Oreochromis niloticus: one gene and its partners. The main gene of each other region encodes a partner of the protein of the gene in region 3 in a complex. Links are inferred from orthologs where the notes say so. Each region holds a gene or a part of one and is shown on either strand. Other genes may lie near its edges.

The links.
Region 1: the proteins of ncapd3 (region 3) and ncapg2 are in contact, whole or in part, in a cryo-EM structure (PDB 9F5W), measured with the Homo sapiens proteins. The link is inferred for Oreochromis niloticus from reciprocal best matches to the Homo sapiens genes NCAPD3 and NCAPG2. Residues at the interface, in NP_056076.1 of Homo sapiens: Glu1213, Lys1216, Ile1217, Pro1218, Leu1220, Gln1247, Ser1250, Glu1251, Tyr1254, Lys1258; in NP_001268861.1 of Homo sapiens: Phe291, Lys332, Pro333, Ile334, Trp336, Lys340, Ala341, Arg342, Arg347.
Region 2: the proteins of ncapd3 (region 3) and ncaph2 are in contact, whole or in part, in a cryo-EM structure (PDB 9F5W), measured with the Homo sapiens proteins. The link is inferred for Oreochromis niloticus from reciprocal best matches to the Homo sapiens genes NCAPD3 and NCAPH2. Residues at the interface, in NP_056076.1 of Homo sapiens: Arg589, Pro591, Met629, Glu680, Arg683, Tyr684, His690, Lys724, Glu793, Asp800, Gln803, Arg804, Arg807, Gln817, Leu820, Gln865, Leu866, Cys867, Pro868, Ala869, Arg870, Val871, Val918, Ile925, Lys929, Leu932, Gln933, His934, Ala956, Asn960; in NP_689512.2 of Homo sapiens: Trp22, Ser68, Lys69, Glu72, Tyr75, Tyr79, Leu82, Asp83, Ser86, Ile144, Ile145, Pro146, Leu147, Leu148, Met150, Ala151, Leu152, Val153, Asp156, Glu159, Asn161, Asn162, Asn163, Pro164, Leu165, Tyr166, Ser167, Arg168, Gly170, Leu173.

Annotation. Positions count from the first base shown.
Region 1 is NC_031974.2:16,400,248-16,410,706, reverse strand, and holds the start of ncapg2 (condensin-2 complex subunit G2), read right to left. Parts: upstream 4,589-10,459; 5' UTR 4,247-4,588; coding exon 4,169-4,246; intron 1,706-4,168; coding exon 1,523-1,705; intron 1,336-1,522; coding exon 1,221-1,335; intron 825-1,220; coding exon 667-824; intron 519-666; coding exon 384-518; intron 262-383; coding exon 167-261; intron 90-166; coding exon 1-89. Other genes in the region: esyt2b (extended synaptotagmin-2), read right to left, coding at 6,305-6,374, 6,485-6,534, 6,650-6,755, 8,756-8,887, 9,108-9,206, 9,483-9,835. UniProt on the Homo sapiens protein: Regulatory subunit of the condensin-2 complex, a complex which establishes mitotic chromosome architecture and is involved in physical rigidity of the chromatid axis.
Region 2 is NC_031981.2:22,672,985-22,682,399, reverse strand, and holds the start of ncaph2 (condensin-2 complex subunit H2), read right to left. Parts: upstream 4,558-9,415; 5' UTR 4,403-4,557; intron 3,634-4,402; 5' UTR 3,629-3,633; coding exon 3,521-3,628; intron 3,107-3,520; coding exon 3,005-3,106; intron 2,930-3,004; coding exon 2,868-2,929; intron 2,791-2,867; coding exon 2,712-2,790; intron 1,734-2,711; coding exon 1,677-1,733; intron 1,596-1,676; coding exon 1,516-1,595; intron 1,429-1,515; coding exon 1,277-1,428; intron 1,161-1,276; coding exon 1,027-1,160; intron 927-1,026; coding exon 843-926; intron 611-842; coding exon 547-610; intron 473-546; coding exon 371-472; intron 280-370; coding exon 235-279; intron 131-234; coding exon 60-130; intron 1-59. UniProt on the Homo sapiens protein: Regulatory subunit of the condensin-2 complex, a complex that seems to provide chromosomes with an additional level of organization and rigidity and in establishing mitotic chromosome architecture.
Region 3 is NC_031978.2:31,867,778-31,877,768, forward strand, and holds the start of ncapd3 (condensin-2 complex subunit D3), read right to left. Parts: upstream 3,957-9,991; coding exon 3,871-3,956; intron 328-3,870; coding exon 168-327; intron 72-167; coding exon 1-71.

The DNA of each region.
Region 1 (10,459 bases), on a different chromosome or scaffold from region 3:
TGCATAAGCTCTCGATCTTCTCCAAGAACTCCCCACTAGCCTTCTTCCATGCTCTGAAGTAGATCTCTGCAATATGAGTAGTCATGGGCCTGAATGGAAGAGTTTAGTTGTTATTAACATGAAAAGAAAAGTGAGCGTGTCGGCGAGAAAAGAGTGGGGTTCTTACTTGCTGTAAAACTCCAGCTGGTTTTTGATTGTGCCGTGAATAACCCAGATGAAGTTGATGTTCCAGCTGAAAAGAAACACCAGGAATCGCTTTCCCTGTGACAATATACACATCATCAGACTGACAGCTCGAGAGGGAAGCCACGATGATAAAAATAAATAAATAAAGCAGGGAGTGAATCGTGAAAACAAGCACACAGCGGCTGAGCATAACTCACATCATCGTTTCTAATGTGAGCAGGGCGGTGAAAGCACTGAAGCAACAAGTCGATTATCTGCTTGTTTTCTTCTGATGTGTAGTCAAGACTCAAAAGCACGTCATGGAGCCTCCACACTCTCTGGATCTCAGCTCCCTGACAAGAGACAAAAGATCACAAAGGTTACCAGTTATCAGCAGACTGCTGTGAGACGCACTGGCTACTGATGGAAAACATTTCTTTCAGAGTGAAAACATGCTGAAAGAGCTGAGGAGCTGACATGTGACTGAGGGGTTACACTCACTGGTTTCTTGAGAATGAAGCTCTTCTGCAGAGACACAAAGAAAGCCGTGCGCCCAAACCGTTCTTTCTCCTGCAGCCCTTTCTTCCACCAGGCCTCACACAGTGCGTGGATGTGGTTCTGCAGAGGTGCCTCTGAGACAGGAAGCGACACCAGTACATCTGAAGGACACACACACACACACACACACACACACACACACAGATGCTTATTATTATTTAAGCTTTTCTGAAAAGGCAAGGATCCTCACATGGCAATTAGACTGCAAAGGTAAAACATGTGACTTTCTGGCCTCATTGCAGAATAAAAGCATTTTCACTGAAACGTCCACGATTCATCTCATAAACTGAGCAATTATGATGGTTTCTCAGGTTGTTTTTTCATAACTGGTAAATGGATTGGTACTTATAATTGCTGTTTTCTACTCTTACAGGATAATCAAAGCTCTATAATGTACATATTTATAAGTTAGGTATAAATATCTATCTATCTGAATGGGAAGAGCATCATATGCAACTCATTTGCTATAAAAATGTGCAAAAAACATAAACACTCACCGTGAAGACGTCGGGTAATTTCCAGAAGGGGGCTATAGGGGTCATCGTCTTGTAAAACCTGCAGAGACACTGTAGAGACGAGCGTCACGCCGTCCACAACAGCCACAGCGTGTTTCTGGGAAAAAAGTTAATGCACCAGATGTTAAAAAATACAATTAAGCAAAACGTCAAAAAACTTAAAAGCAATGTGATATTACAAACATCAACATAGGAGTGCTTTGCATACATCTAGTTCTTAATATTAGAATAATATCACTGACAAAGACTAAGCATGGGGTCAGTGAGCTGATCCTTTTACTCACAGAGTCTGCAGTGGGCTCCTCCTGCATGTCCTCCTCCTCCCCCCTGCCCTCCCAGCGCTCTGGTGGAAACTCCAGCAGGATGTCCCGAAGCAGAGATGCCAGTCTCCTCCACAGGGCCTCTCTCTGCTCTCTGGGCATCTCCTGCAACACCTCCTCCACATCGAAGGGCTCAGCTTTGTCCTTCTGCTCAGATTTATAGACAGACAGGCACAGCTTTGACTGGACAGCCACATGTTTTGTACATTTAATAAAAATATAATACCTGAAGAAATGATTTTTGTCTGTTTAATCAAACTATAATTCCAATGTCAATTGTGACCTCCATGTTTATTAAAACAAGATATTTGAGAGAACAGGATGATCAGGATGCTATTATGCACATTTTATTTATACCTTTCAGCACATCCTTTATCTCTCCATAAAAATCCACAATTTACTTCTCACCAGGCTGAGTCAGAGTTAGTTTAGGACAAATTTCTTCCTTTTTTTAATCCCTGGCTCCAGTCAAAATTGACCCAAATTATACTGCGAAGCCATCAAATATGAACTATACATGAGGGTTAAACAGGCTTATTATCAATAAATTATGCTGGGTGGTTTTGCCTTGCCTCTCTGTAACACTTGTGGACTTGCGTGGTGTGATTGCTTACTATCCATCTGTGACATAACTCTGAGAAAAGCCTCAGCTCGGGCTGCAGTGTGAGTACTGACAGGAAGTAGAAAGAAAGGTCATGTTTCTCTCATTTTGGCTTCTCTCCATTGACTCCCTGTTAAACCAAAGGTAGAATTTAAAATTGTCCTCCTCACATTCAAAACCCTTTAATCATTGGGCTCCATCACATTTTAAAGACCTCACAGTGTAAAACTGAGCACTTTTATTTCAGAGTACAGGCCTCCTACAGCTATAAAAGAGTACATTTGCAGAGCATTCAGCTGGATTCAGGAAGGGCAGAGCGTCTCTGCTTTAAAGTTGGGCTTAAATTATATTTATATACTAACGTTGCATGACATCAACTTTGTATCCTGCAGTTTGGGGGTTTTCCTCCCTGTACCTTTTCCCAGGCTGCTTGTGAAGCAACCAATTACATGACAGCAACTCAGTGCATTTAGACATGTAGACACACAACATGAACCACTGAAGTTGAAACGGAGCATGAGCACGTGGAAGAAAGGTGATTTAAAATACTTTGAATCTGGCGTGGTTGTCTGTGCCAGACGGGCTGGTCTGGGTATTTCAGAACTGCTGATCTGCTGAGATTTTACCACACAGCCATCTCTAGGCTTTACAGTGAGCTGCATTTCTCTGGGTGAAAATGCCTTGGTGACATCAGAGGTCACAGGCAAATGGCCAGACTGCTTTAAGTTGATAGGAAGGCAACGGTAAGTAAAATAGCCACTCATTACAACCAAGGTATGCAGAAGAGCATCTCTGAATGCACCACACGTCATACCATAAGCAGATGGGCTACAGCAGGAGAAGACCACACCAGCTGCCAGTCCTTTCAGCCGAAAACAAGAAACTGAGGGTACAATCTGCACAAGCTCACCAAAATTGGACAGTAAAAGATCAGAAAAACGTTGCCTGATCTGATGAGTCCCGATTTCTGCTGTGACATTCAGATGGTAGGGTCAGAATTTAGCATAAACAACATGAAAGCATGGATCCATCCTGCCTTGCATCGATGGCTCAGGCTGCTGGTGATGTAATGGCCTGGGGGATATATTCTTGGCACACTTTGGACCCATCAGCTTCAGTTGAGTATGGTTTAAATGTCACAGCTACTGGAGTCGTGTTGATGACCATCTCCATCCAATTATGGAAACAGTGTCCCCATCTTCTGATGGCTGCTTGCCATGCCACAAAGCTCAAATCACCTCCCACTACTTTCTTGAACATGGCAGTGAGTTCACTGCACTCAAATGTCCCAAACAGTCACCAGATCTCAGTCCAATAGAACAACTTTGAGATGTTGTAGAACAAGAGATTCTTATCATGGATGTGCTGCTGACAGATCTAAAGCAACTGTGCATCGCTGTCATGTCAATATGGAGCAAAATCTCTGAGGAATATTTCCATCATCTTCTTAAATCTCTGCCACAAATAATTAAAGCATTTCTGAAGGCAAAAGCAAGGTGTACCTAATAATAACAGGACTTAACACGATGAGTCTGTCTTAGCTTATTGAACAGGAGTGCGTGCACTTTCTTGATATTTCTGATATATTTTATGCTTGACTAAATCAAAGCCTATTAAAAAATAGTCTGAAAGATTTTTTATCGTCGTCCTGGTGACTTTTCCTTTGGTGTAAAGCCAAAACCTCTTTGGTGGGTATTAAAAAAAAAACATGTAGGAGGGAAAAATGCTTACTTTACAGACAGTAACAGTTTGTCAAAATTGGGATCGAAACAAGCATTTTCAAATAACTGGACTCCTTTTTTTATAACCCCCCATGAGTACACTCCGCATCTTAAACTTTAAATAGCATTTAATAGTGAACACAGCAACCATATTATTTGCATCTCATGTTTAGGACCTGACTTGAACACTTTCCTGTACTACTTACAGCTCACAGCTGTGTTAAAGAGGCTAAACAGGAGACGCTTCTGGGTGTTTTAGGATTAACTCGCATTGAGTTAGCTACTTACGTGAAGCTGAATAAAGCGAAGAAAGTCCTCCACATTTTCTTTACAGGTTGCTTCTAAAAATGCCTCTCGCTTGGACATGATTCCTGCTTCCAAAGCGATCCGAGGTAACCGTAAGTTTTCCTGTAATGCTGCTATGAAGCCGCTGTAGCGTTAGCTTGTCTCGCTGTAACAACTCCACAACAACAAATATGGCAGTCCGTTTGTCGTTACCGTCAAAAGTGCTAATTGCAGACGCCGGGTTGGGTGGTATTAAGGCTCACAATGATGCGCATTTGAATTAAGCAGCATTTCCTTCGTCCGTTACCTTTTTAGTAAGGCTTTTGTGAATAGGAAACAGTGAAATGACAGCAAGCCATAACAACAGTAAACCCGCGCAAATTTGGATAAAGTCGGTTCCACACGTCATCACGTTTGTTTCGACGCTGACGTACAGTTGCAATTCTCTGCTTTTGCCACTGGATGGCGGCAAACCACTACAGATGTTCTGTGTCTCAAAAAGCGTAAACGAGTGACATTTTCGTATTTCTTTTTCTGTGGATGATTCATATTGTGGATTAGACCCCAGTCAAGAGAAATTTCTTTGCAAGGCGCACACCAAACCTCACATAATATATCGTAATTCAAAGTGTTTATTATTCAGTCTTTGCTAGATTTACTATGCATTCAAGTGATTTCAGAATAATCGGAAAAAGGACAACTCGAAAAAAATCACGTCAATGCCAACTGAAGATAAAAAAAAACAAACAAAAAAAAACAATTAGGAAATTCCCTTAATTGCTTTTTAGGTACGCAGAAAGCGACAGGTCAAAAGTAAATATATAGTTGATTGTAAACGTTAAGATTAATGCTGCGAATTCATGTACCATTTGGCATCGTTTTGCTACCAGCTCCTTTGTATTATGGTATTAAATTGCTACTACTAATCTAAAAAAATATCAGCTTAGATTAAATGCACTGGTCCTTGTTAACCTTCCCATATGACCTGCTCCACCTCCTGAACTTCAGCCAACCTGAAACTTAGCAAATACATCTTGTTGTTCAAACGAGACCAAAATACAAGACATCATCCGTTTGATTTTCATATTCCAAATTTAAACACAACTTTAAACACAACAAAGTTGCAAAATTTGGGGAACATCACAGAAGCACATGAAAATGGGGTAATAAAAAATGCACACCAACTTTCACAAGATAAAACATGTATTCATCAAAAGCCATCCAAAATAATAACATTAAGAAGGCAAGTAAATTATATTTGTGTGGGTTTTTTTAAGGCACAGGATAGATAACCAGAAATGTATTTAACAGCTCCCATGAAACTCATAACTGCATGGCAAAAACATACACAAGCATGACACAGATGCATGATCTTCACACAGACTCTGGCAGCCCTGCTCATAAAATGCGAAAACTGTTGTCCCTGTTCATGTTTCTCAGTTTTTTCAACTTACATTTGGTTTGAAAACAGTCAAACCCTTATTCAAGTATCCTTTGCATAATGCACAGAGCTTGCTCATAGCCCTAAAATGTCCCCAAGTCTCATTCAGAATCAACCACTATTGCACAAATCTCCTAAAATATACACAGCACAGCAGTCATTTTATTCTTTGCATATCAGCATTCCATGTTCGTAATCAAGCATTTATAACGAGAGGTAAGCGATCAATCAACACTGGGTGACAAAGGAAAATCAAAATCTCAAATCAGGACTGCTACTTAAGCCTACATTTGTGTGCATCAATTCCTTTGGTTAGAGTTTTCTCAGACAACAAATGAAAATTCTTCACATTTTAACAAACCGGATACAAAGTCATAAGAATCGTGACAGATTTCAACACGACTCCTCCAAGGTAAGTATAATGCCATGAAAACCCCTGCAAATTCTTATAACTATATATATTTACATTAAAACACTGAAAACAGAGACAAGGCAGTAAGTGTGTTTGAACACATTAAAATATTTTACAACATCTTCCAATCAGGCTCATGAAAGATTAACAGGAAATTTTGACAAAAATAAAACTAAACATGCTGAAATTATTCCTGTTAACTAAATGGAAATTATATATGAATACAACAGAAGGATGTGCCCTTAGGTTAACAAGATAACTATGTTACAGCAGAGAGGTGGTGCCACTACGTGACGACGGGGTCTTGGATACTTTTTGTGGCTTGAGACGACAAACCATCTTCACTTAGATCATACCTGCAACAGAAAATGATGAAATTAGATATTTAAGGACAGAAATTAGCATTTTTTTTACCCCCAAGAATCAACTCAATGTTGCACAGGAAAAACATAAAATGCTAGTTTACCACTGTGTGATTCCTTTTGCTATGTCATCTCCACTTAAATCCACCAGAACCTGCAATTTTAGGCAAAAAACAAAGAAAAAGAACAAGAAATGTTTAGAATCAGCACCTGGAGTGAAGGCTGGAAAAGTAATAAACTACACTAGAGGGAAAACCTGCAGGAGATACCTTTCCCAGAAGCCCTTTGTGTTTGGACAGGATGCTCCCTCCATTCTTCACAGCAACATCCAGAGTTCTCCTGTGGAGCTCCACAATAGATACACTAAACTCAAACCTGCGAACACACACACGCACACAAACATAAGCATACACTTTTTATGTTTAGCATAAAATCCAGATTGTGTGTGGTCATTGTCTGGGCCTTCTCTACGTTTTCCCTTTTGTCCCTCTGCATTTTCTTGCAGGGTCCTGGTGGGTGAAGTTAATCAGTGTAAATGGGACCACCCGGCCGGTCTGCATTTAAGAGCTGCTTGTCTCAGGCTTTGCGCTACCTTGCTCTCCATCCACTTAGCACCATGCAATTTCTACGGCTGCCTAAAGATTCAGACAGTGCTGACTAAAGAGAGTGGGGACTAACAGCGATGTGGTGAACAGAAACAAAGACACTTAGCAACTTTGTAGCTGGCGGCGCAAAGTGGACGGGCTCCAAGTTAAACTTTTCTCAACTTTGGGGCAAGCCATGAAAGTAACCCCCAATGAGAGGATACTGTCGATTGATATAAGACAAGGTGGTAAATACAGTACAGGGATGCCAAGGAAACTGGAGCCGGGGATGTCCACTAGTGACCAACTGTCAACAAACAAACTGATGTGTGACAAATGAATTGTTTTACATGTGGACAGGGCTTAATCAGTCACGTATGGTCACAAGCTTTTGGGTAACGACTGAAAGAAAGAGATCACAGATACAAGCTTTCTCCGAAGGGTGTCTGGCTCAGCCTTTGGCTCATTTGAGAGGGGGGTAGAGTAAAGCTGCGACTCATCCACACAAAAAGAAGGTAGATGAGATAGTTCAACTATCAAACTGGGATGCATCATGGATGATGTGTACTGTCCTACTGGGTGGAGGCAATGGGGCAGATCCAGGACATGCTGGAGAGATCTGGAAGAGCTGGAGAAGGTGGCCCTGGAGAGGGAGGCCTGGGTATCACTGCTTTGACTAACAGAGCAGCAAAAAACGGATGGATGGATAAACAGGCGATTGAATGGGTTGAAACTGGGTCTTTGTCATGGCTCCGTGGCCAGACTATGACAAATATGGGGATTGTTCTGGTCCTTTAAACAAAAGGTAAGTCAAAGAAATTTGCAAACTGTATTAAATTATTTGACTTTGAATTCACAACAAAGCAGCATATACTAGTGTAAACTTGAGGCCTTGCGTGGTTTGTTTGGCTTGCTAACCACATTGTGGAGAGACAGATAAGTTGGTATTTCTGATTTGTGATTTCAACATGGTGCCAGTGGAGTTTAAGTAAGTGCCAGCAGGTGCTTAAGTGTTTGTGTGAGTCCATAATCTCTTTCTCTTTAACCTCAAGTCTTCTGTTCTAGCCACTGCACAGCTGTTGTTAACAATTTCATCAGCCTCCCCCGCTAATAGTTAAACTGCAAACCAGCATCAAGTGTTTCTGACATGGGCATACTGGCTCTCTAAGTTTGCACTAAGTCATCAAAACTTTGAAAACCCCTGCAGGCTCAAGATGGCTGATAATCAATACAACTGCATCAATAGTCAGCGGGACTAGGAAAGCACCGACGTGCTAACTCCAGCCTACACGAAGGAGCTGAATGATGCGATCGGGTTTCATCCATGAGGCCAAAAGATTTAGTCTGAGCACTGAAGCTCAACTGCAAACAAAAGTGTCCAAAACAAACAGAAACTTGAGGTGATGGATCCACAGCGGCCGAATGTGATACGAATCTCAGCTCAGCAGGGTCATATCGTCTGTGCAAGCTCTTTTCTTCAGTAATAAAATAGCTCTATTGCTAGAAAAAATAAAATATTCCGCAACTGCACCCTTGCTTCGTGTCTGAGTTCAAAAAGGACCCTGAAAATATAACTGAACAATAAAACTGGAAATAAAAGGAAAGCTTTGAAGGACTCTCAAAACACAGCCAGTTATCAAATTAATACAGCAGCATAACTGCAGCTAAAGGCAGAAATGTTCTCAGAGCTTGTAACAATCGGACACAGGTGAAGCAAAACAGCAGATCCTCAAAAATCACATTACGTTACAAATCTGCAAGGCATCTCAACAAGTACTGATGCAAACCCACGTCTGATCGTAAACAGGATTAAGAGTCCTCTTCATTGTGCTTGTCTTCCTCCTCCCCGTCCGACTCTTGTCAGGCAGCAAATAGAGGCGTATGAAGGGGTCCGAGCCGTCTTTGGTGAAGGCTATCAAGTTGCTGAGGACACACAGGACAAATGTGTTTTCACTCACATGTTGCCAGGCACATGTTGCTTGTTAAATCTTTACAGTTAGCAGCTCCACAGGAAAGAAAGTGATTTGAATACCAAGGGATGAATCTGCACAAACTCAAGTTAATGGCACAAAGAACCCAAAAACAAAAAGTCCTTCAAACCACTTTGTGTAAATTCAGTGTATTGTAGCAGTTTGGAGCTCACCGGCAGGAGTGCACCACCACAATGAGTTTATTCCTCTGGGAGCTGTGTCGAACAGTCAGCTGGATCTCACCCAGGGGGTACTGGCTGGGGGTCGAGCCACTATAAACACACCAAAGTCAGTCAGTGTCACGTCCAGGCGCTGCGGCCGAGTTTACAAAGTGCATGCATACAGGGACTGATTAATTGTTTGACGGGTAGGCTGATAAAATATTTATAAAGATGAATATTCAAAAATCACGATGACATTTAGATGGAGGCCACAGCAGAATTTAAATGAAGTTGATCGAAAAACAATAAGAAACCCTGAGATGAGCCAAGCTGGAAAAGCTGGAAAATAAACAATAATAAAAGTAATATATCATATCTGCCATTTACTTCTGCAGCTGATGAAGCCTTTGCTGAAGCTCCACGGTGGCAATAGGCAGGGAGGTATCCGATGCCAGGCTGGCTGTGGACTTGTTGTGCGGCAGGTGTTTCTGGGAGCTTGACATGGCGGTGGTCAGGTTGGTGGTACTGGAGCGATGGCTGGCTCCGTACGGCTCGCCGTCCCTGTCCTTGAGGGTGAGAGTAGAAGCTCCTATAGGATGTGAATGCGTGGGCGGAGGCAGCGGCAAATCTGAGGCTGATGGTCTCAGGGACGAGGCTGGGGGTGCCTGTGGCACGCCGGACTTGTTGACCTGGACTGAAGAAGGCTGGTCTGGGGACACTTGCTTCTCCAAGGACAGGATCTAGAGAAAGACATGAAGATGTTTAGTCGATTGAGAATAGAAAATAAGAAGTTAAAGTTAATGTAAGTGCTGTCATTTCCTGTGAAAAGTCTCTAAATTTAGCAGACCTTTCTAAACTGTGTTTTTTTAAAAAATTTTATTATGTTTTTTTAAGAGTCTGCAAATTAATTTCTCTTCTGAATGTCTTGATATGTTGGTTGTGCTTCAATATGGAGAAACTGTTTTAGAGCAGGTCAGTATTTTGATGCAGCTGCATTCCTTTTTTTAATTGGATCCCAGTGATTCAGTATAATATACTTCCTTTTGGTCTCAAGAAGGGCAATGCAGTTTGCTTGTTACAGCTTCCTGTGTTCCCAGATGGGAACAGGAGAAAATATCCTCATTAGCAGTATGTAATGGCTTTAGTTAAGGCTGAACTAAGCTATGGATGACAATGAGGCAAACCACCAAAGACTAACTGTCAAATCACTGGATTTAGTGCCTCAGGCAAAGAGATATAATTTTAGCGGCGCATCGTGAAAACGTCTACAGCACAAACAGCAATCGAATCAGAATCTCACTTCAATTTTCAGCGCGGTGATGCCGTGACAGCAGAGATGACGCTACGCCTGTTCCAATTTTCAT
Region 2 (9,415 bases), on a different chromosome or scaffold from region 3:
CTGAGGTCACTGCTGACATCACTGTGATGTCAGCATGGATGATGGTGTGTGCGTCTTACGGCTCTTCTGTTGATCCTCTTCTGATTTTTGAGTTTGTCTTTGATCGTGCTCAGGTAGATGTAGTTGAGGTCTGAAAAACAGGAAGTCTCAGCTTCATTTAACAGGAAGTATAAATTCAAATCTTCAGATTAAAAGTCTTTTTTCTGAACAGAAACGTTTTCAGTCTATTGTTACCTGTAAATGTGGGTCCATTTTTCAACTTGTGCTCTGGAGGGTCAACTGAAACAAACAAACACAAACAAGAAGTGACATGTTAACAGATAATGGGTCCACACGAAGAACATGAGTGCTTCAAGCAGTTTGTTCTTACAGGTTCCTCTGAACCAGCTTCTGAAGTCCTGAAGGAAAGCGGCTCGTTTCCTTTTCCTCTTCCCGCAGTCATCCAGCCCGTCGGGAACTCTGTAGCACTTTCCTGCAGAAGACACAAAACTCTGTGAGCGCCAGCAGACTGAACACTGAAACACGCCACACGGTCCCCATGGTTACCTGGTTTCAGCGGTTTGTCCTCCTCAAGCATGGCGTATGGGTCATGGAACGCCCAAACATTCACCTGAAGAAAAAAAACACAAAGATGTTTCATAATGAAGTTCTAGTAAAAAGGTAAAATTTAATGAATCTAGTTAGAAAACAAAATGAGTAACCGGAGCTTTATGAAAACTCATTTTTTCAAAATAAAAGCACTGTTGTGCTTTATGTTTGTGAGATTTTTGACTAGAGGAAAATAAACGCTCCTGTAGCGAACACTGAGCTGCAATCTGGGGGATTAAAGGAGATTAACATACAGCAGGAGGAACTGGCTCCTCTCTCCTCGGTTTGTTGGGTTCCAGCTGTTGCCTCTCTCGGATCATCCGACCATCACTCGGAGCCTGAAACATACCAACGACACTGAAGTTACACAAGAAAAAGAAGATGAAAAGGTGGTGGCTGAAACTGTTCTGTGATTCTAACAGATGAAATCTCCTCCACCTGCAATCTGTCCACATGCTCCTCCTCCTGCTCCATGTTGTCCAACTCTAAGGGGAGGAAATCGTCTGCTGCATCTCCTCCACCCTCCTCAGCATCAGCTCTGCCCATTTCAGCATCCACTGGAACCACAGCATCTGAGGCAGTCAAAAATCAGAAACCAAAGTAGTGAAAGTCAAGAAGAAAAAAAAAAAAGGAAGAAAAGCAGGAGGAAATGTGTCATGAAGGACTGAACAGGTGAGGTGAGGTGTACCTGGGGGCTGGGTCTCTAGTTGAGCGGAGTCACTGTGAGCCAGGGAAGTGGAAGCAACTGATCTGAATGTGAGCAGGATCATGTCGCCCTCACCTGGGACAAACAGGTTGATCCTGAAGTCCTTCTGACTGCACAGGATCTCACCTTTCACACTGACACACAGGCACAGCACCAGGTGAGACCTCATCATGGGGGAGCGGGGATTAGCTCTCATTTAGTTGCTGTGCGAGATCACTGACCTGATGAGAGGCAGTTTCTTCTTCTCGTGGGTTTCAGGTGCAATCAGAGACTCAGGAGGAAGAGGCGACACGTCCACAGTCTGCATAGGTCAGAGGTCACAGGCAGAGGTCAGAGGCCAGAACGAGCTGCAGGTAAACTGACCTCAGAGAATCAAACTCACCGTGTTGGAATCAGATTTCTCAGATCGGTCCGACCCTTCCAGGTCCAACACAGAAAACTGAAGGACACAAATGATGTTACTCATTTACACCTGAGCACAACTGACTTCGACAGGATAAAGAGTTACAAAAAAGGAGGAAAAATAAAAAGGCAAAAATGACACAATATATATTTAAAAAGAATTTCTGTGAAAATTTGAGGTCAATGTTTATTTTATATTTTATGATTAAAGGTTGAAACTGAAAAATCTAGATCATTAATAATAAATAATTAAAATAAAATAATTAATGATCACGATAAAGAATATTTTACATTTAAGGTTCTAATTTTTTGAATATGATATGGCCAGTGACTGAATGAAGTGACTATGTAACCCCGAACGCCCTGTGAGCATTGTTAGAGAATGGCTGTAACAGTAAAACCTTGACTCTGTGCCTGCTTTCATTCTCCCCTGCTAACTCACGTTACCTGAGGGGTACCTCAGGGCTTGCTCCAGGTCCCCTGTAACTTGCTGTTTATATTCTTGAACACAGATGCCACATTTTCACCCAAACAGCTTCACACTCAGTGACCTCAGACGCTTCAGTTCCAGCTGACCCTGACTTCCTGTCTGCTCCAGGACCGGATTGTTTCTACAGCTCGGCTCACTCTGCAGTCTCTGAGGGTTAAAGAAGACCTTGGCTCTGGAGCAAGCAGGCTAATGACACCAGGCTCACAGAGTCAGGTGCTTCCTTTAAATCACCTCTGAAAACATGTTTCATAGACTTTCTTTGAAGTCTATAAAAAAATGTCAGCTATCAGTTTTGAATTAGTTTTTTTGAACAGAAACATTTTATACTTCTTTTCCTTGGTGCGGTTTATTTTTGAGTCTAACATCCAGATCTCAAAGCACTTTATCGCCAGTGTGTTTAAATGAATGAAGCCTTTACCAGCCTCATGAAAGCTGAAAATCGAATCAGGGACGAAATGTGACTCTGGAAGTTTTCTCTCAGGTAAAGAACCATCTTTAATAAAAGCTGCCTGGTCTTTTTTTTACCTCCTCCAAGTTGTCAGCATCATGACTGCTCGCTGCTCTGCCATCACCCTCCTGAGACTCTGTTGCCTGCTTGTTGCGTCTGTCGGGAGAGCACAAAGATAACGCGTGAACCTACAGCAGAAAATCAAACCAGCATGTGGGCGGAGTCATGCCTACTTCTTGTTCTTGTCGTTGATGTACTCCAGAGTCTGGAACACCAGGCTGTGCAACAGCTCCACCTGAAACAGACGCAGATGCCGTCACATGACTCCATCACAGCCTGGGCGGGGTCATGTGACTTGTGTTTGGCTCACCTTCTTGCTGTAAATGCAGGCGGAACCCTGGATGAGCAGCGCAGCCTCTGCGAAGTTCAGCCGGGTTTTCCCACCATCAAAGGTGATGCACATGTCATCCAGCTGCAGACACACAGACAGATGTTACTCAGCTTCACTCCTTCAGGCTGTGACTGACTGAAATCCCACCTGGATACTCGTTTGTGTCTCTGTGGATCACCTGAAGCTGCTGGACCCAGAGCAATTTGCCTGAAAAGTGGTTGTTACCTTCCAATTACAGCTCTGTCTTCTTCTGTCTGCATTAGAAGTACTGCAGAGCTTACTGCTAAAACTGACACCCTCTCTCTGCTGCTTTTACTCTTTACAAAGAACCCAGGTAGCCAGACTGAACCTGTAGGTGAGCCTGTTTTGGGGTATGGACCACATATTTGATGCAGACAGATATTGCTGTCTCGTGTCAGTTTGTAAGGAGGACGAAAGCTATCAAAGTAAGAGCCTCTGTGGTAAAAATAAATCTGAATACCGGATTCAGGTTACCTCATCTAAGTAGTCGTTTAGCTCTGACGCCAGGTCGATCTCCCAGTTCTTGGTGAGCTCTCGGATCGGCTGGAGCAGGTGAGCGTATCGGCTCTCTGTGGACTCCATCTCACCTGAAACAGGTAGAACCAGAACAGGCTGTGAATCCTGCGGGGTCTCAAACATCACTCCGTCTTTAAGCAGCTCGTTTCTCTGCAATGCTCTGAGTTGCAGATGGAACACTCTCTCATTTTAAACTCAAGCAAAGATGACTTTCATTCAGCCCAAATTTGATATAATAGTAAATTCATAAAAGCCTGTAATGTTGATCCGAGCGCAGAGCTACAGCTGGACTGTACATATCGATTTAAGTATCGATTATCAGTTTTCATGGTGAACTCTTTGCATTCATCTGTCCTCAAAATCAAACAAAACTGCGTTATCGCAGCTGTGAATTCTATTAAACAGCGTGATAATTGCTACGAGCGAAAGCGGCAAAAACTGACATAAAAAAAGAACGAAATCAAACCAAAGTACGTTCAAAAATGTGATTATTTTAATCGCTGTAGTTAAACCTGTGATTAAAAGATAAACTTAACAAATTAACTTATTCTTAATCTAACGCCGAATATACCGGGACATCCCACTGTTTAGTAAACCGTGTTAACTAATCCTCTGTGAGGTCGATTTTTACATCAATCCGAATGAAACTCAGATATGTCAGAATTATCAACGCAGTGTGGCGGAGCGTCTAAGCGACTGCAGCTGTCAGCGCTTGAACACTTGGCTCATTTAACTGCTCAGTTTGGTCATTTTTTATAAGAGAAATACCTGAAAATAAGCAGGTGTCGCTAACATGAAGCAGCGACGGTGTTTAAGGAGTAAAATCAGAGAGAAACTTACCGAAAACCCTGAGCTCAGCCACACCGGGGCTAACTGTTTGTAGCCGTTAGCACAACACTCAAAGTACCCGCGTTAAATTTCTTCTTCGCTGCTCTTGTCTGTGTAGCAGCTCCGCGTGCTGCCCCCTGGCGGTGCCTTGGTGTGATGCAGGCTGCCGGCCGCTAGATGGCAGCGTTGCAGTTTAAAGAAACTGGGCGCGCTGCTGCCTGCACCTTGGGATCCGTTTATAACAAATACAAATAATTTGACATGCGCAAAACAGCGCAAGAGCAAAGCCAAGTCAAATAATGAGAATTTGGACTCCATATTTCATATTTATATCTGCAGATATCAGGCTAAAACCATATTCATTCATTGGAATTATTTTGTAATATCACAGTATTTAAAGCCCCTGTTTCATTTTTGTTTATACATGATAACAAGCTAAATAAAACCCTGTGCTACACTACTAGTGTAGGGTTAAAGGTTATAGAATCCTAAAGCAACAAAGCAACAACAAAAAACAAAATAAATAATCAATTAAGTAATAAGTAAAAAAAATAATCACAAGCTGTTTGGATAATCTTTTAGAAAAAATAAAACCATGAAGTGAGAAGTCGTAATACTGACGTGAATGTGTGTACTCTTCCTCATCTCACTCTTCTAGTGCTCAATGCGAACACCATGAACAAGTCTGCAGCTTGAGAACGCCCCCTGTGGAGTAGGAAGTGCACTGAGGGAGGTCTCTGCTCTCCTCTGAGCCTGAAACTCCTGCTCCAGACCACACTCGCAATCCACCAACAGGTGAGGAGGGCAGGAAGAGTATCGAGTATCTGGCTAACTTTCAGAATAAAAGCCCTCGTGCAGACAATCAAAGCCATGTGAAGGACACATAAAAATATGATCATCTTGGTTCGACCTGATAGAGTTTAAATGTTGACTACCTGGGCATGAAACAAAACAAGCAGTGAGCGGAGCCATGCAGCCGTGTGCCGTGACATCATCGGAAGCACACCGTGGTCTGAACTCTGACCATCACAAATCATATCTGCAGATGGAAACATGATGAGATTTCCTCTGCACACAGATCTGATTTCAGGTCGTCCTCAGAGTGTGTGTGTGTGTGTGTGTGTGTGTGTGTGACTCTTCCTCCACACATGAAACCAGTTATTCTTTGTGATTTAATAAAACTTTATTTACAAAAACAGCAGGTGATGTCATTAAGAAGCAATGATGATGATGATGATGATGCTGGGTCTCAGGAAGCCTCCTCTTCCTCCTGCAGCAGCATTAGTGAGTATTATTAGTCTGAGAGGACAGCTGTAATTAATGCCTCTGAGAGGAGGATGACGGGGCAGCAGAACCTAAATTTAACACTCCTAATTTAAACAGCCGGATTTCTAATCCAGGAGACGACGCCCTCCTCCTCCTCCTTGTCTTTCCTCCTCAGAGGTGTACATGCTGCTTGGGAGTCCCACTGTTTTACTTTCCCAACAGAGACAAGACGACAAAGGACGCAAACGTCGTCACGGCTCAGGAGGAACACTTGTGGAAAACATCTGGCCACATGTGATTATGAAGAATACTCCTCTGATAAACTCAGAGAAAACAATGCACGCAGAGGTTTCCCAGCAACACCCCATCCCCATCGCACTGCGCTCCTCTTCATCGTTTATCTCTTCCACTGGAGCGCCAACAGATTACTGAAATGCCAGCAGCTGCACGCCATTCTTAGCCCAACACAAAATGTCTCAGAAAAGCTACAGACTAACAGGTAGCGCTGCTGTGGCGCACAGCCATCCTTTACATACAGTCTTTGGCTAATAACACAGAGCGTCTGTCAGAGGAAGGTGTGACTCTGCAGCAGAACATCCTGGACTCAGCTGCAGGTGAAGCTGAGCCATGTGTCACAGTCATATTTGCCTGCTGCGCTCCATCACACCCGTAGCAACAGTGAGCACAGAGACTCCGCCCCCACAAACACCTCCGTGTGCACATCACCTGATAACTCATGGTGTCAGCACACAAGTAAATCTAATCAGCATTATAATAATAATCATTAAGAGTTCACAGCACGTTAACCTGAACAGCTGCAGTTCCTCTAACTTCCACCAGAGGCTCCCACCCTGCATTGTTATGGGCGTGGCCTCTGTGACTGACAGGTGGATGGTGACACAGGCTGCTGGTAATTCACCAGAAACTCAAGGGTTACATCATGTCCATCTTAAATATACAGTCTGGTATCTAGAACACGTTCCACAGCAGGAGGAGGAGTCTGCACCTCTGACCTCCAAACACCTGCCATGGATGTCAGAGACAGCGGAGCGAGTGGTATGAGGTAATGAGGAGGTGTGAATCTCAGCGAGTGAGTGGAGTGAAGATCAGCACGCTCCTCCTCCTCAGAGGTTACACCAACGGTATGCCCGCTGTACTCTGATTACTGCTGGAACAGTTCTGTGAATGGACTCTGTTAAAACAAAATTTTCAGTTAAGAAGTCTGTGCAGGGTGAGAGCACACACACCCGTGGCATGCCATTGGACGTCAGTCCTGTTAATTTAATTCCCATTGGAAAAGAGCATGGATGGGATCAGTGGTGTAACTGAGCACTTTTACTCAAGTGTAATGTACTTGTACATCACTGAAGTATTTTCTGTGTTTTGGGTTTAAATGTTGACCTTTGACTCCAAAGTTTCAGTCTCTTCTTCTTCTTTTTGTGTTTTGTTGGAATACGAACAGCACAGGGAGGATAACAAGGAAGAGGTGAACTCAGTCACAGCCAAAAACCAGGACAGGAAGAAGACATAAAAACACCACAAATCACTCGAGGAGCTACCCTTCAAAATAAGACAGGAAGTAAATGAGGGAAACGGGAAACACTTGTGTGAAGACTTGGTCCTTACACTGGAAGTGTGAAGCACAAGCGTACAGATGGTGAAGTTTCTAGAGAGTATTATCACGGTCCAATCGGATAATCTGCACCTCTGCCCCTCCGTGGTGGCCCCCCCCGTGTATTATTGTGTGTGTGTTTCACATCTTCCTCACTGCAGTCACATACATCAGCTGCCTTGAATGGCTCAAACTGACCGCGTGCAGATGAATATGAGAATGCTGAGGTCACGACTCTCCCGTCAGGCATGCTGATTGGCTGGAAAAACCCATCAGGGTTAAACCCGCTCCCCTTTTTCACCCCAATTTCCAGGTCTCAGCGAGCAGCCGTGAGATTGGATGACAGCACGGGTCACTGGTCCCCTCCCTCCCTTTTAGCTCCCACAATCCACTGGGAGCAGCGCTGATGGTTTATGAAACCACCACAAGCTCCTCAAACCGACAGTGAGCCTCTCAGGCGTTAGAACCCTCTGTTTTTGACGCCTGTCAGGATTGGGTAAAGGTGTGACTCTATTGGCCGAGACGTGCTGTTGTTGCTGCTGACCTCACGGCGTACATTCTCAGAAACACAGGTGCAGCAGGAGTTGTGCAGGTACCTCTCAATCCAGCCCCAGAGTACTAAAAGTAAAAATGAACCACCTCCACCAACACGGAGAAGGAGTCTCACATCAGTTTACCTGCAGGAAACTCGTTAGTAGCAATTCAACTTTCAAAATAAGAGCATGAGGTTTCTCAAGGGATGTTGTGTTGCTCAGGTGGATGAAAGTAAACCCGGGCAGCCCTCAGAGAGAAGTCTGTGAGTTTCAGACTTTGCTGCAACTCTAAGCCGTGATGGGATCTCAGATCACAGAGCACAAAATGGTTCAAAGCTATATCAGTGACTCTCATATGATGCATTTATTCACAGGTGAGCAGTAATATTTTAATTCATTGTACTTTAATGTACAATATATTAAAAGACAAACAGGCTCCTGTGGTGCTGCTGGGAGTGTGACAGCCTGATCCAGGTCCAGACCCTCAGGATCCAGAAATGTGTTTAACCTTGTTGGAGGGGAGCAGCAGCTGTTTCACTTGTTTCTGACTCAACTCCATGTATTTTTATGGTGTTGGTCGTGTTGCTTGTCTCTCTGCTCATTTAGTATCTTGTGGTTACTCAGTAAAAGCTAAATTTTAGGCTCCATGATGAGTACCATCATCAGTGTCAGAGTCCTCTCAGTGATGCCTAAATCTGCCTAATGTCCAGCACCTCTTTCAGGAACATCTAAAGCTCTCAGACTCTTTCTCTGTTTCATTAATCACAGATTAGATCCAGTGGAGCAGAACAGGGACTCTGCCAGGTCCTGGTCCTGTACTGTAGTCTGGTTTTATGGTTATCCGGTCAAACATTTCCTTAAACAGCATTCATTCACTAATTAAAGAAGAAGGGCGGTGTGGCTAATTCTTCATCATCAAACTGACACTGAAAGCTCTTATTATTCATATAGACATTCAAAAACAGCACAGTCCACTCTTTGCATTGAAATGACCTCAAACAGAAAAACACTGATTTATTAGATTCAGATGTGGCTCAGAGGGTCACAAGGTCCTCTCCAAACACATAAACGGGAATGTATGTGTGTATATGTGTGTGTGTGTGGAACAGCAAAGCTTGATGGGTATTACCTGTAATCCTGTAATACCTCAGCTTAACACAGAGAGAGCAGAGAGAGCAGATCCTCACACTCTACTCACTTCCAGGAGAACACCTGAAACCAGAAAGCACACCAGCAACCACAAATCCACCAGACTGGGAGAACCTCGGGTGGTGGTCCAGCTGCTGTGAGACATCAGCAGCGCTGTTTACTCGTGGAAAATGGGCGTGCTGTAGTGAACACGGTCTGATCTGTTTAATCAGCAGATGATTCGGAATGAAACAAAGACACATGCAGGTGACGCCTTCATCACAGTGATCTGATGCTCTGATTGGATCTTTGTGGACTCTGATAAAGATCAGATGGCTCTCTGGCTATTAGCCTCACCAATGTCTTCAGGTTTCAGGCTCCCGGAGTACGTTTCCTGGAGTACCTCACCTTTCTTCTGTGCTCTAACATCAGCAGATCTCCAGGTTTCTTCCTCAGGTGGAGTTACTGTTAGTAAGCAGATTAAAG
Region 3 (9,991 bases):
AAGAGCAGCCGTTCCTTATCGCCAGCGGTGGCAGCTGCCACAAAGAGCTGGCGGGCTCGTTTCCCTGGGCCTTAAAACTGCAAACGTGGCACGGCGCTGTTCCGCTGATGGTAAAAACACAGCCCTTTTCCGCCGGGAGATGCCGTCGGTGAGTTGTGAATTATCGCCTGGATGCCAAAGCTCCTGATTCCCAGGAAAATGCGATCTGCTTCTTCTGCGAGTGAGAAGTAATCCTTCGTTGACAGCAGCGGGGAGTTGGCAAGGCCAGCTCGCACCGGCAACTGTCGGAGGAAGACGTGAGTGAAGAGGAATCCGCCATCATCTGTACTGTAAGGTTTTGAAAACGGAGCTTTAAAATGAACAGTGGTAATAAAAACCGAGGAAGGCCGACAGTGATCACTGACTGTTTTTAGGGGCTTGTTCAGATTAAACAGAACAAAATATAAAGCATTAAAACATGTTAAAAACACAACAGCCTTAATAAATGCAGAGTAGTTTGGACCCGGAAGCAGGATTCCTCAGGTCAGCATTTAAATATTGTCTATCCCACCTGCTGTGAATGTTTTACTGCAGTACAGTTGTTATTATTAGTGATATGTCGGTCGCGAACGAAACAGCTCTTAGATCCGGATCTTTGTAGTGAATGACGCAAGCCACTTTTTTGCTTCACTCCACACGTGAGCCTTGTGCTTGCGCTGAGCAGAGGGGGGAGGGGCGGTAGTTACACTCGCAGTAGCACAGGAACAGAGCGGGAGGGAGAGAGAGAGAAAGAGAGCCAGGGACAACAACAAGAGACAGCATCATCACATTAGAAAGGTATAGTAATCATCCACAACTATTTTTAGTTGTGGATGATAAAGGATTCAGAAAGTTTATTCATGCAGTGAATCCTATGTATGCAATTCCAAGCAGGAAAACATTCTCCCAAAAAATCATCCCAGGCCCATATGACAGAGAATGTGAATATTGTTTTGATTTTGCATATTTTAATTTATATTTTATTGTGTTGTGGTTTGCAGTGTTTTGTGTTGTTTCAATTTAAATTTCTTTAAAAGGAAAAAGCTGAAAATGTAAATAGTTAAAAGTTGAAATGTACATAGTAGTTTTTTGTATTTTATAATTTATTTATTACATTTAATGTGGAGTGAATAAATAAAAGTATATTTATGGTGGCCCCTAGAGACAAAGCACGTACAAACTCTAAAACACAACAGAAGTGCTCCAGGATGCTAGAGGCAGTGTTGAGCTTTTGTTACCTAGTGGCTACAAGCCAGGAAGTACCAACGACCGGATTTGGTGTGTGGTAGTAACAGGTAAATGAACTTTTTTTTTTTTAATTATTTGAATATATATGAGTGTTTGTGTATAAATACACAAACAACATACATATGCTTTCAATTGTGTAATTTAAGTGATCTAGGTAGCTTTGTACGTGCTTTGGGTCCATTCTCGGTGAATACCTTTAAACACAGCTCATCTCTCAGGAGTAACGTAATTTTACTCACCCTTCCATTCGCTACAATCGCCCTCTTGTCTGTCAGCGCGTCAGACGAACAACTACTCAAGCTCTGCATCCATCGCATTTCCTCCGGCAATCCCTGAAACACACCGAATGTCACGGTACCAGACATACAGTCTGTTACGTCCATCCATCCAGATTTAGTTTCTCTAAATCTCTAAATCCAGTCATGAAGTAACTCCGGCCACCCGCCACGTCAGTGAAAACCAGTGGGGTCGCCCGTCAGCAGAACTCACAGCCCACAGACCGGGCGAGTTAGCCGAAAAGCCGATGGGCGTCAGGCCGAACCCACGCTTCCAAACAAATCGCAGCTCCAACAGCAAAAGCTACAGCATACTTCGTAGCTCCACCCACCCACCAGCGCCAGATAGCAGGGGGAAGCTCAGCTCTGTACTCCTTCCTACTAACACCATTTAATGCAAGCTGAAAATCTGTCGCTAGCTCCATACTCTCTACCGTTCTCCATCGTTGTGATATTTCCATCCTCCTTTCGCTAAATGCTTAAGCAAGTTGGCACTGGGATGCCCGGTTCTTCCCTATCTGCCATTCGCAAACGCAGCAGCAATCTTCCTACCACCGAACTGCCAGTTTCTCAGCGAAGACGACACACACGCACACACACGAAGGCACTGAGCTGGTTCTCCATGCCTCGGAGGCAAAATGCAGTATGCTTCGGCAGCAAGTTGCCAGGTTTCCAACCTCTCATCTGCTAAACTCTGCGGCAAACATCGGCACCGGGTTGCCAGGTTCTCGGCCACTCATCCCTCCTCTGCTAAACTCTGCAGCAAACATGGCACCGGGTTGCCAGGTTCTCTGCCACTCATCCCTCCTCTGCTAAACTCTGCAGCAAACATGACACCGGGTTGCCAGGTTCTCTGCCACTCATCCCTCCTCTGCTAAACTCTGCAGCAAACATGGCACCGGGTTGCCAGGTTCTCTGCCACTCATCCCTCCTCTGCTAAACTCCCTGGCAAACGTCGGCTCCAAGTTGCCAGGTTCCCAGCCTCTCACGCCTCCTCGGCTAAATTCTGCAGCTAACGTCGGCACAGAGTTGCCAGGTTCTCGGCCACTCATCCCTCCTCTGCTAAACTCCGCGGCAAACGTTGGCACCTGGTTGCCAGGTTCTCAGCCACCCATCCCTCGTCGGCACCGAGTTGTCAGGTTCTCGGACACTCATCCCTCCTCTGCTAAACTCTGCAGCAAACGTTGGCACGTGCTTGCCAGGTTCTCAGCCACCCATCCCTCCTTCGCAAAATTCTGCACCAAACCTTGGCACAGAGTTGGCACGCTCCCAGCCTCCCACGCCTCCTCAGCTAAACTGCACCAAACCTCGGCACCGAGTTGCCAGGTTCTCGGCCACTCATCCCTCCTCTGCTAAACTCCGTGGCAAACGTCGGCACAGAGTTGCCAGGTTCTCGGCCACTCAACCCTCCTCTGCTAAACTCCACGGCAAACGTCGGCACCGGGTTGCCAGGTTCTCAGCCTCCCACGCCTCCTCTGCTAAACTTTGCAGCAAACCTCGGCCCTGGGTTGCCAGGTTCTCAGCCACCCATCCATCTGCAAATTTCTGCAGCAAACATCGGCACCGGGTTGCCAGGCGCTCAGCCACTCATTCCCCCTTTGCAAATTCTGCAGCTAACCTCGGCACCCGGTTGCCAGGTTCCTTTCTCCCTCATTTGCAAAAGCAGCAGCAAGCTTTTCCACCATTGGGTTGCCAGTTTCTCACCATAGTTAAGAAGAAAAAAAAGGGGGCACAGAGTTGCCAGTACCCCATCCCTCCATAGCAAATGCAGCAAACATCGGCACCAGGTTGCCAGGCTCTGAGCCACTCATCTCTCCTTCGCAAAATTCTGCAGCAAACCTCGGCACCGAGTTGCCAGGTTTCGCAGCCTCTCATCTCTCCTCGGCTAAACTCTGCAGCATACGTTGGCACTGGGTTGCCAGGTTCTCAGCAACTCATTCCTCTTTTGCAAAATTCTGCAGCAAACCTCGGCATCGAGTTGCCAGGTTCCAGGTTCCCAGCCTCTCATCCCTCCTCGGCTAAACTCTGCAGCAAACATCGGCACCGGGTTGCCAGGTTCCTTTGTCCCTCATTCGCAAAAGCAGCAGCAGCTTTTCTACCGTTGGGTTGGCAGTTCTCTGCATAGACAAAATAAATAAATAAATAAAAAGGCACCGGGTTGCCAGATATACCTTCATCCCCCATTTGCATGCAGCATCTAGCTTCCTTACTACTGAACTGCCAGTTTCTCCGCATCTATCATTGCAAGCAGCGGCAAACCCTTCTAGCACCATGGTGTCAGGTTCTTGCTATATCTGCCATGTGCAAACTGCAGAGACAAGCTTCTTACCCCTGAGTTGCCAGTTCCTGTCCATCCACCATGGCAAAAGCAGCAGAGAATCCTTCTAGCTGGTTCCTTCTATATCCATCATTCATAATCGCAGCAGCAAACTTCTTCCACCACATTGCCAGTTTCTCTGCATCCGTTATTGCAAAGCAGTATTAAACCCCTCTGGCACCTCGATACCAGGTTCTCTTCCTCTATGCCCCCACGCAAATGCAGTAGCAAGCGTCGGCACCAGGATGTCAGCTTCTTTTCCTCTGTTCCTCCTTTACGAATGCAATAGCAAGCTTGGCACCGAGATGCCTGGTTCTTCTTTATCCCTCATTCGCAAACGCAGCAGCACGCTTTCTAATATAGAGTTGCCAGTTTCTCTGCATTTATCACAGCAACGCAGCAGTGAAACCTTCTACCGCTGGGAAGTCAGCTTCTCTGCATCTAGCCCTCACATGCTAAGCAGCAGACACATGCTAAGCAGCAGACGTTCCCTTTGGCGCCAATCCAGTACCTTACGGTACCTTCTGGTACTGGATTGGCAGCTTCTGCCATCAGTCACTTGTGCAAACCCCCCCCCCCAAAACCCCGAGATACCAGTTTCGCTGCCATCTTTCCTGCCTTCGCAAAGCACCGGCGAACCTTCGTGGCACCGGGATGCCAGGTTCTGTCCTCTATCGCTCTTTTTAAGACATCCAAACTGCGCCGTGCGCATAATTCTTCATGGCGTCCCTTCACTTCTCATGTGTTTTCACTAGCATCATCAGGCATCCACCCTCAACACAATCATTCAAGACTGCTCTCTAAGTCGACTCACGGTTCTGACTGCGTCTAAACAGCTTATCTCCCACGAAGTCCAGTGGACTTGCACTCTGCTCTCGGACGATTTTGGGGGTTATTATTATAGAGATTATTTTCCTCTAATCAGTCTTTCAATTCATTAACTCGTCCCAAGCTGCTGCTGTTACTTCTGTTCATTCAGAAATCAGCTCAGTTGTTATCGCTGCCTTTTCTGAAGTAACTAACCAGCTAAGCACCCCTTCTCCATCTTCTACTCAAAGACAAGCTCACACAAGCTTTTCGAGCCGTCAAGCCTTACCTCAAATCTCAAATCCAGCATTCTTCTGTCAGAGCTTCAGCTCAAAGTTGAGCCACGTCGCTACATGATTGAGGGTTCCCCTCGTTCATCTATTAAGATTTCCGTTGTTCACGATTTCCTTTGATCTCTTCTCCTGCCATTCCTTCCTAATTGTCTGAGCTCATCCACTCCACACCATGGAGCGACGTTCGCTCTCCCCGCGCTTGTCTTTGACCCGTTCTCCTTCTCTCTCCCCAACTGGTCGCGGCAGATGGCCCCGCCCCTCCCTGAGCCTGGTTCTGCCGGAGGTGTCTTCCTGTTAAAAGGGAGTTTTTCCTTCCCACTGTCGCCAAAGTGCTTGTTCATAGGGGGTCATATGATTGTTGGGTTTTTCTGTACACATCATTGCAGGGTGATGGTTCTGTTCACGGTTCTGTTCATAATTTTTATGAACAGGATTTCTAGGCGCAGCCAAGTGGCGGAGGGCTTTCACTTCGGTGGCCTCAGAATCTCATCTCTGCTTTTTGCGGATGATGTGGTTCTGTTGGCTTCATCAGGTGAAGGCCTCCAGCTCGCACTGGAGCGGTTCGCAGCCGAGTGTGAAGCAGCGGGAATGAGGATCAGCACCTCCAAATCTGAGGCCATGGTTCTCAGCTGGAAAAGGGTGGAGTGCCCACTCCGGGTCGGGGATGAGTTCCTGCCCCAAGTGGAGGAGTTTAAGTATCTCGGGGTCTTGTTCGCGAGTCATGGGAGAAGGGAGCCGGAGATCGACAGACGGATTGGTGCTGCGGCTGCAGTGATGCGGACGCTGCACCGGTCCGTCGTGGTGAAGAGGGAGCTGAGTGTAAAAGCGAAGCTCTCAATTTACCGGTCGATCTACGTCCCTACCCTCACCTATGGCCACGAGCTGTGGGTAGTGACCGAAAGAACGAGATCGCGGATACAAGCGGCAGAAATGAGCTTCCTCCGAAGGGTGGCTGGCCTCTCCCTTAGAGATAGGGTGAGAAGTTCGGCCATCCGGGAGGGGCTCAGAGTAGAGCCGCTGCTCCTCCACATCGAAAGGAGCCAGTTGAGGTGGTTCGGGCATCTGACAAGGATGCCTCCTGGGCGCCTCCTGGGTGAGGTGTTCCGGGCATGTCCCACCGGGAGGAGGCCCCGGGGCAGACCCAGGACACGCTGGAGAGATTATATCTCTCGGCTGGCCTGGGAACGCCTTGGTATTCCCCGGATAAGCTGGAGGAGGTGGCTGGGGAGAGGGAGGTCTGGGCTTCTCTGCTTAGGCTGCTGCCCCCGCGACCCGGCCTCGGATAAAGCGGATGAAGATGGATGGATGGATGGATCATTGCAGGGTCTTGAGGCGTTCATTACTGTGGCTCAGTGCAGTATAAATAAGTCGAATCGAAATTATTATTTATTACCGCTGACGTCTTCGACCTTCATATCGCACAGTTGTTTCTGCTTCTAGGGGATGCCTTCTTTGGGGATCTGCCAGGCCCGGGAGCCGTCGCCAGTCCCCTTCGAGGCCTTCCCCAAACCGCAGCTCAGTTCATGTCCAAGCATTCACCTTTACCTACCAAAACGCTGTCAAACCTAAATTGAGGACGTGGGCCCAGCTAGTGAAATAAAAGTTAACTGAAATCATACTTAAGTCTCTTTTCATCTGCAGTTCAGAGTGCAGTTAAATGTCTTTTACATTATCTTTTTCCTTCAGCACCAAGAACAGAAAGCTTAATGAGGAATGTCCCCGCAGAGGCCGGAGTCCCAGCAGCTGAAGCCCGAGTCCCGGCAGATGAGAGGCTGTTCATAATTCGCTCACGGTTTATTGAAAGAGTGTCTGAATCTGTTTTAAACAAACTTCTGGATAAACTCCTGCAGCAGCGTGTTATCAATGATCAGGAGATGGAATCAGTCAGATCACAGCAGAGCAGGGCAGATAAAGCACGAGACGTGATCGACATGGTGCGATGAAAAGGAAGTGAAGCCAGCTCACTTCTGATTGCTGCTCTCTGTGAGGAGGATCGATGCCTTTCCAAAGACCTGAAGTTACTGTGAAGGAACACAGACTTCTAAAGAATCTGTGGAGCTGTGACGATGACTCTCAAAGACCACTGATAGCGTCATTATTGTGATCTTCATGTGAGGTGTGTTTTAAAATGGACTTTAGTTCTGAAAGTGTCTCTCATTAAAACCTGGACTCTGAATACCTGCTGAGCAGGAAATTGGATTGATTAAGAAGCAGAGTCTGGGGTCTCAGTAAGTGTCTGGGCTGCTCATTATTAGTGCACAAACCAGGAAATATGTGAAGCTCCATTAATGCTGAACCGCATCTACAGGTTTAAGAGCAACACCTCAGGTTATCAGGGACCAGCGTCTGTTTCCAACAATATAACTGAAGCTGCTTTTACCTTTAATACTGGAATAACGTATTGAATCACATGATCATTATTTATAATCTGTCTACTGAGGTTTAAATTCTCCTCTGTGCTAGCTTCTGCTTTGAGCAGCACGTTGTGCTTCTGCCTGTATAAATAAAGTTTTGCTGCTTGCTTTCTTATGGTGGACTTTGAATTCACGTTTTTAAAGAGTTTGAGCTTCCTGTCCATCTGACTGACTTCATTTTCTCCTCATATCTGAACCATGTCGTCGTGGGTCTGCATGTGTTACAGTGTTAATAGAGACGACACAGACTTATAGTGAGCTGTTTATTGAATAAAGGCTGGTGATCCATGGTGATGTAAATAAAAAACCTATTACTAGAAAACCTCACTGACTGGAAACACAGTAAGTAGTGATGATCCGTTTGAAGCTGAAGCTCCGACGCATGTGTAATGAAAAACCAACACACTGCTTCACTGGTTAGTCTGAACAGAGTCACGTGACCACTCATATCATTCGGTATGTCACTGCTTCAATGACCGATTCACTGGTTTATAAAGAAGTGAATCATGGCAGGATTTGTGCTGTGTTTTGGTGATTTTGTGCGAGAGTTAGTGAACCAGTGTGCAACACAATGAGATACATGAGCCAGTGAGGAAGTGAGAACGCTCTGCCTGTTCCTAAATAAAAAACAGTTCATAAGCAATTCTGCCCCCAGGTCTAAAACATACATAAAAATACATTAAACATATACGTAATAATATATATAAACAAATCTGTCCATGGGATAATTACATAACCATGAGACCGTGCCATATGTTGTTATATAAATTGTATTTTTTATCTATTGACAAACACACGCAAAGGGACAATACAGCATGACACGTTTATTCTTCAAAATAATTTTATTCATCAAATACATGTAACATTATTTTTTCAACCTTCAGCTTCAGTTTCCCTGATATCTCACAGAAGAATCACATATTAAACAGAAGCCTTTAGTCAGCTGAAATAAATGTCCAGGCTCCAACACGAGCCACCAGGCCAGAACCAGCTTCCTCATGCTATGGAAGTTTTAACAATAACCTGCAGTGAGCGTGATTTGAAGTGGTTTAATAAACACATTGCAAAGTGGAGAGAAACATCCCAGCCAAACACTAGGGTGATCTCTGCCAATGGCTGCCGCCCTCACATCTTATATACACACACAGACTACGGCGTTCCACAACCCTTACATGTTGGCCCATGTCATGGGGCGGGGGCTACACCTCACAGAGAGAATTATGACCTTGTTTTCTGCTTAGCATCACCTAAAGATTTACATCCCTGATAAGCAGGAGTCTCACTATCTGTTTAACATCCTCCATGAACTTACAATGGCCCCACTGTGTGTGATAGAGCATAAGACAAATTTGTGAAGCTAACCCAAGTACAAAGTGATACTGCTATTACTAAAGTGATACGGTTAAAATATGTATCCCTAACCTACAGGCGTGCTTCAACGTCTGGTGACACTGGTAAAATTTCTTATTTTGAATAGTGTTTGTTATATATAGGTGAAATGATAATCTTGCATTCATTATCTTGTTGAGTTGAGGGCTGCATTCTATGTAGTGTTTTGTATAAGACCTGTGGAAATCCCTCAATCCCTGGCGGACTGATCCCCAGCTACCAAGACTGGCAGTTGGGACAGTTAGCTTCTACAACTTCCAATTGTTAAGTGATGCTAGATGTCTCAGCACTGCAGGGAAGCAACAAAACCTTCCCCTTTTGATTGTTCCTGTAGTTGGACTCTGCAAAAGTGTGTGTGTGTTACCGCCAGCAGTCATAGTTGGTCTCTCTTCTGCAAAGAACGCTAAATGGCTAAGGTACTACTGAAGTTTCTTTCTGTTCCTCCTGGAGGCTGATGAGGAAACCTGGTTCTGGCCTGGAGGTAATGAGTGTACAGGCAGATTTCTTTTCTGATGTATTCATCACGAAAACAGCAATATACACACACAATCAGGAACAAATGTAATCTGTGAAGAATGACAGTGTTCTGGTTGTGTGAAAGTCCATGTGTCATTTACCTATGACAGCTTGACCCAGTGCAGACCATGAGATACTGATCTGTCCAAGTCGACCATGTCTTAACGGCCTCTCCAGAAGTTTCTTGTTGGTGACAGTGTAGTAATGATGAATTATATTTCTCATCAGAAACACATTTGTGGATGGAATTATATTACTTATAAAGTAATTATTTTTCATCATGCATGCAAAGAACAGTTCAACAACTTGACTATTCAGCCGGCCTTTCAGCTCTGGGACAAGTTGAATTCTGCGTAATATGTCCTTGGAATCTTTTGTATTTCCCTCATGAAATCTGCCATACAGGATGATCCAGTGACAGGGTGAGGATTTTCAGTTACACAGTCCATCCTTTCATGTAGCCATGAAGATTCACTCGTAATCTTCCATCCCGCACAGCCTTGAGATTTTCCTTAGTGGGCTCAGCCAGTCAACCTTCATGTGGATGAAATGGCAGTCTATTAGGAACCTGCAAGTTGGTGTGTGCCGCCAAACAGCAAGCAAAATCATAAACGCAGAAATTTGGTATTTGCTTCCAGGACAGGAGAAGGTCAGCAAAATCCCTGAGACTTTCAGCACGAAGATTAAATTTAATACTGTATACAATGCCATGTG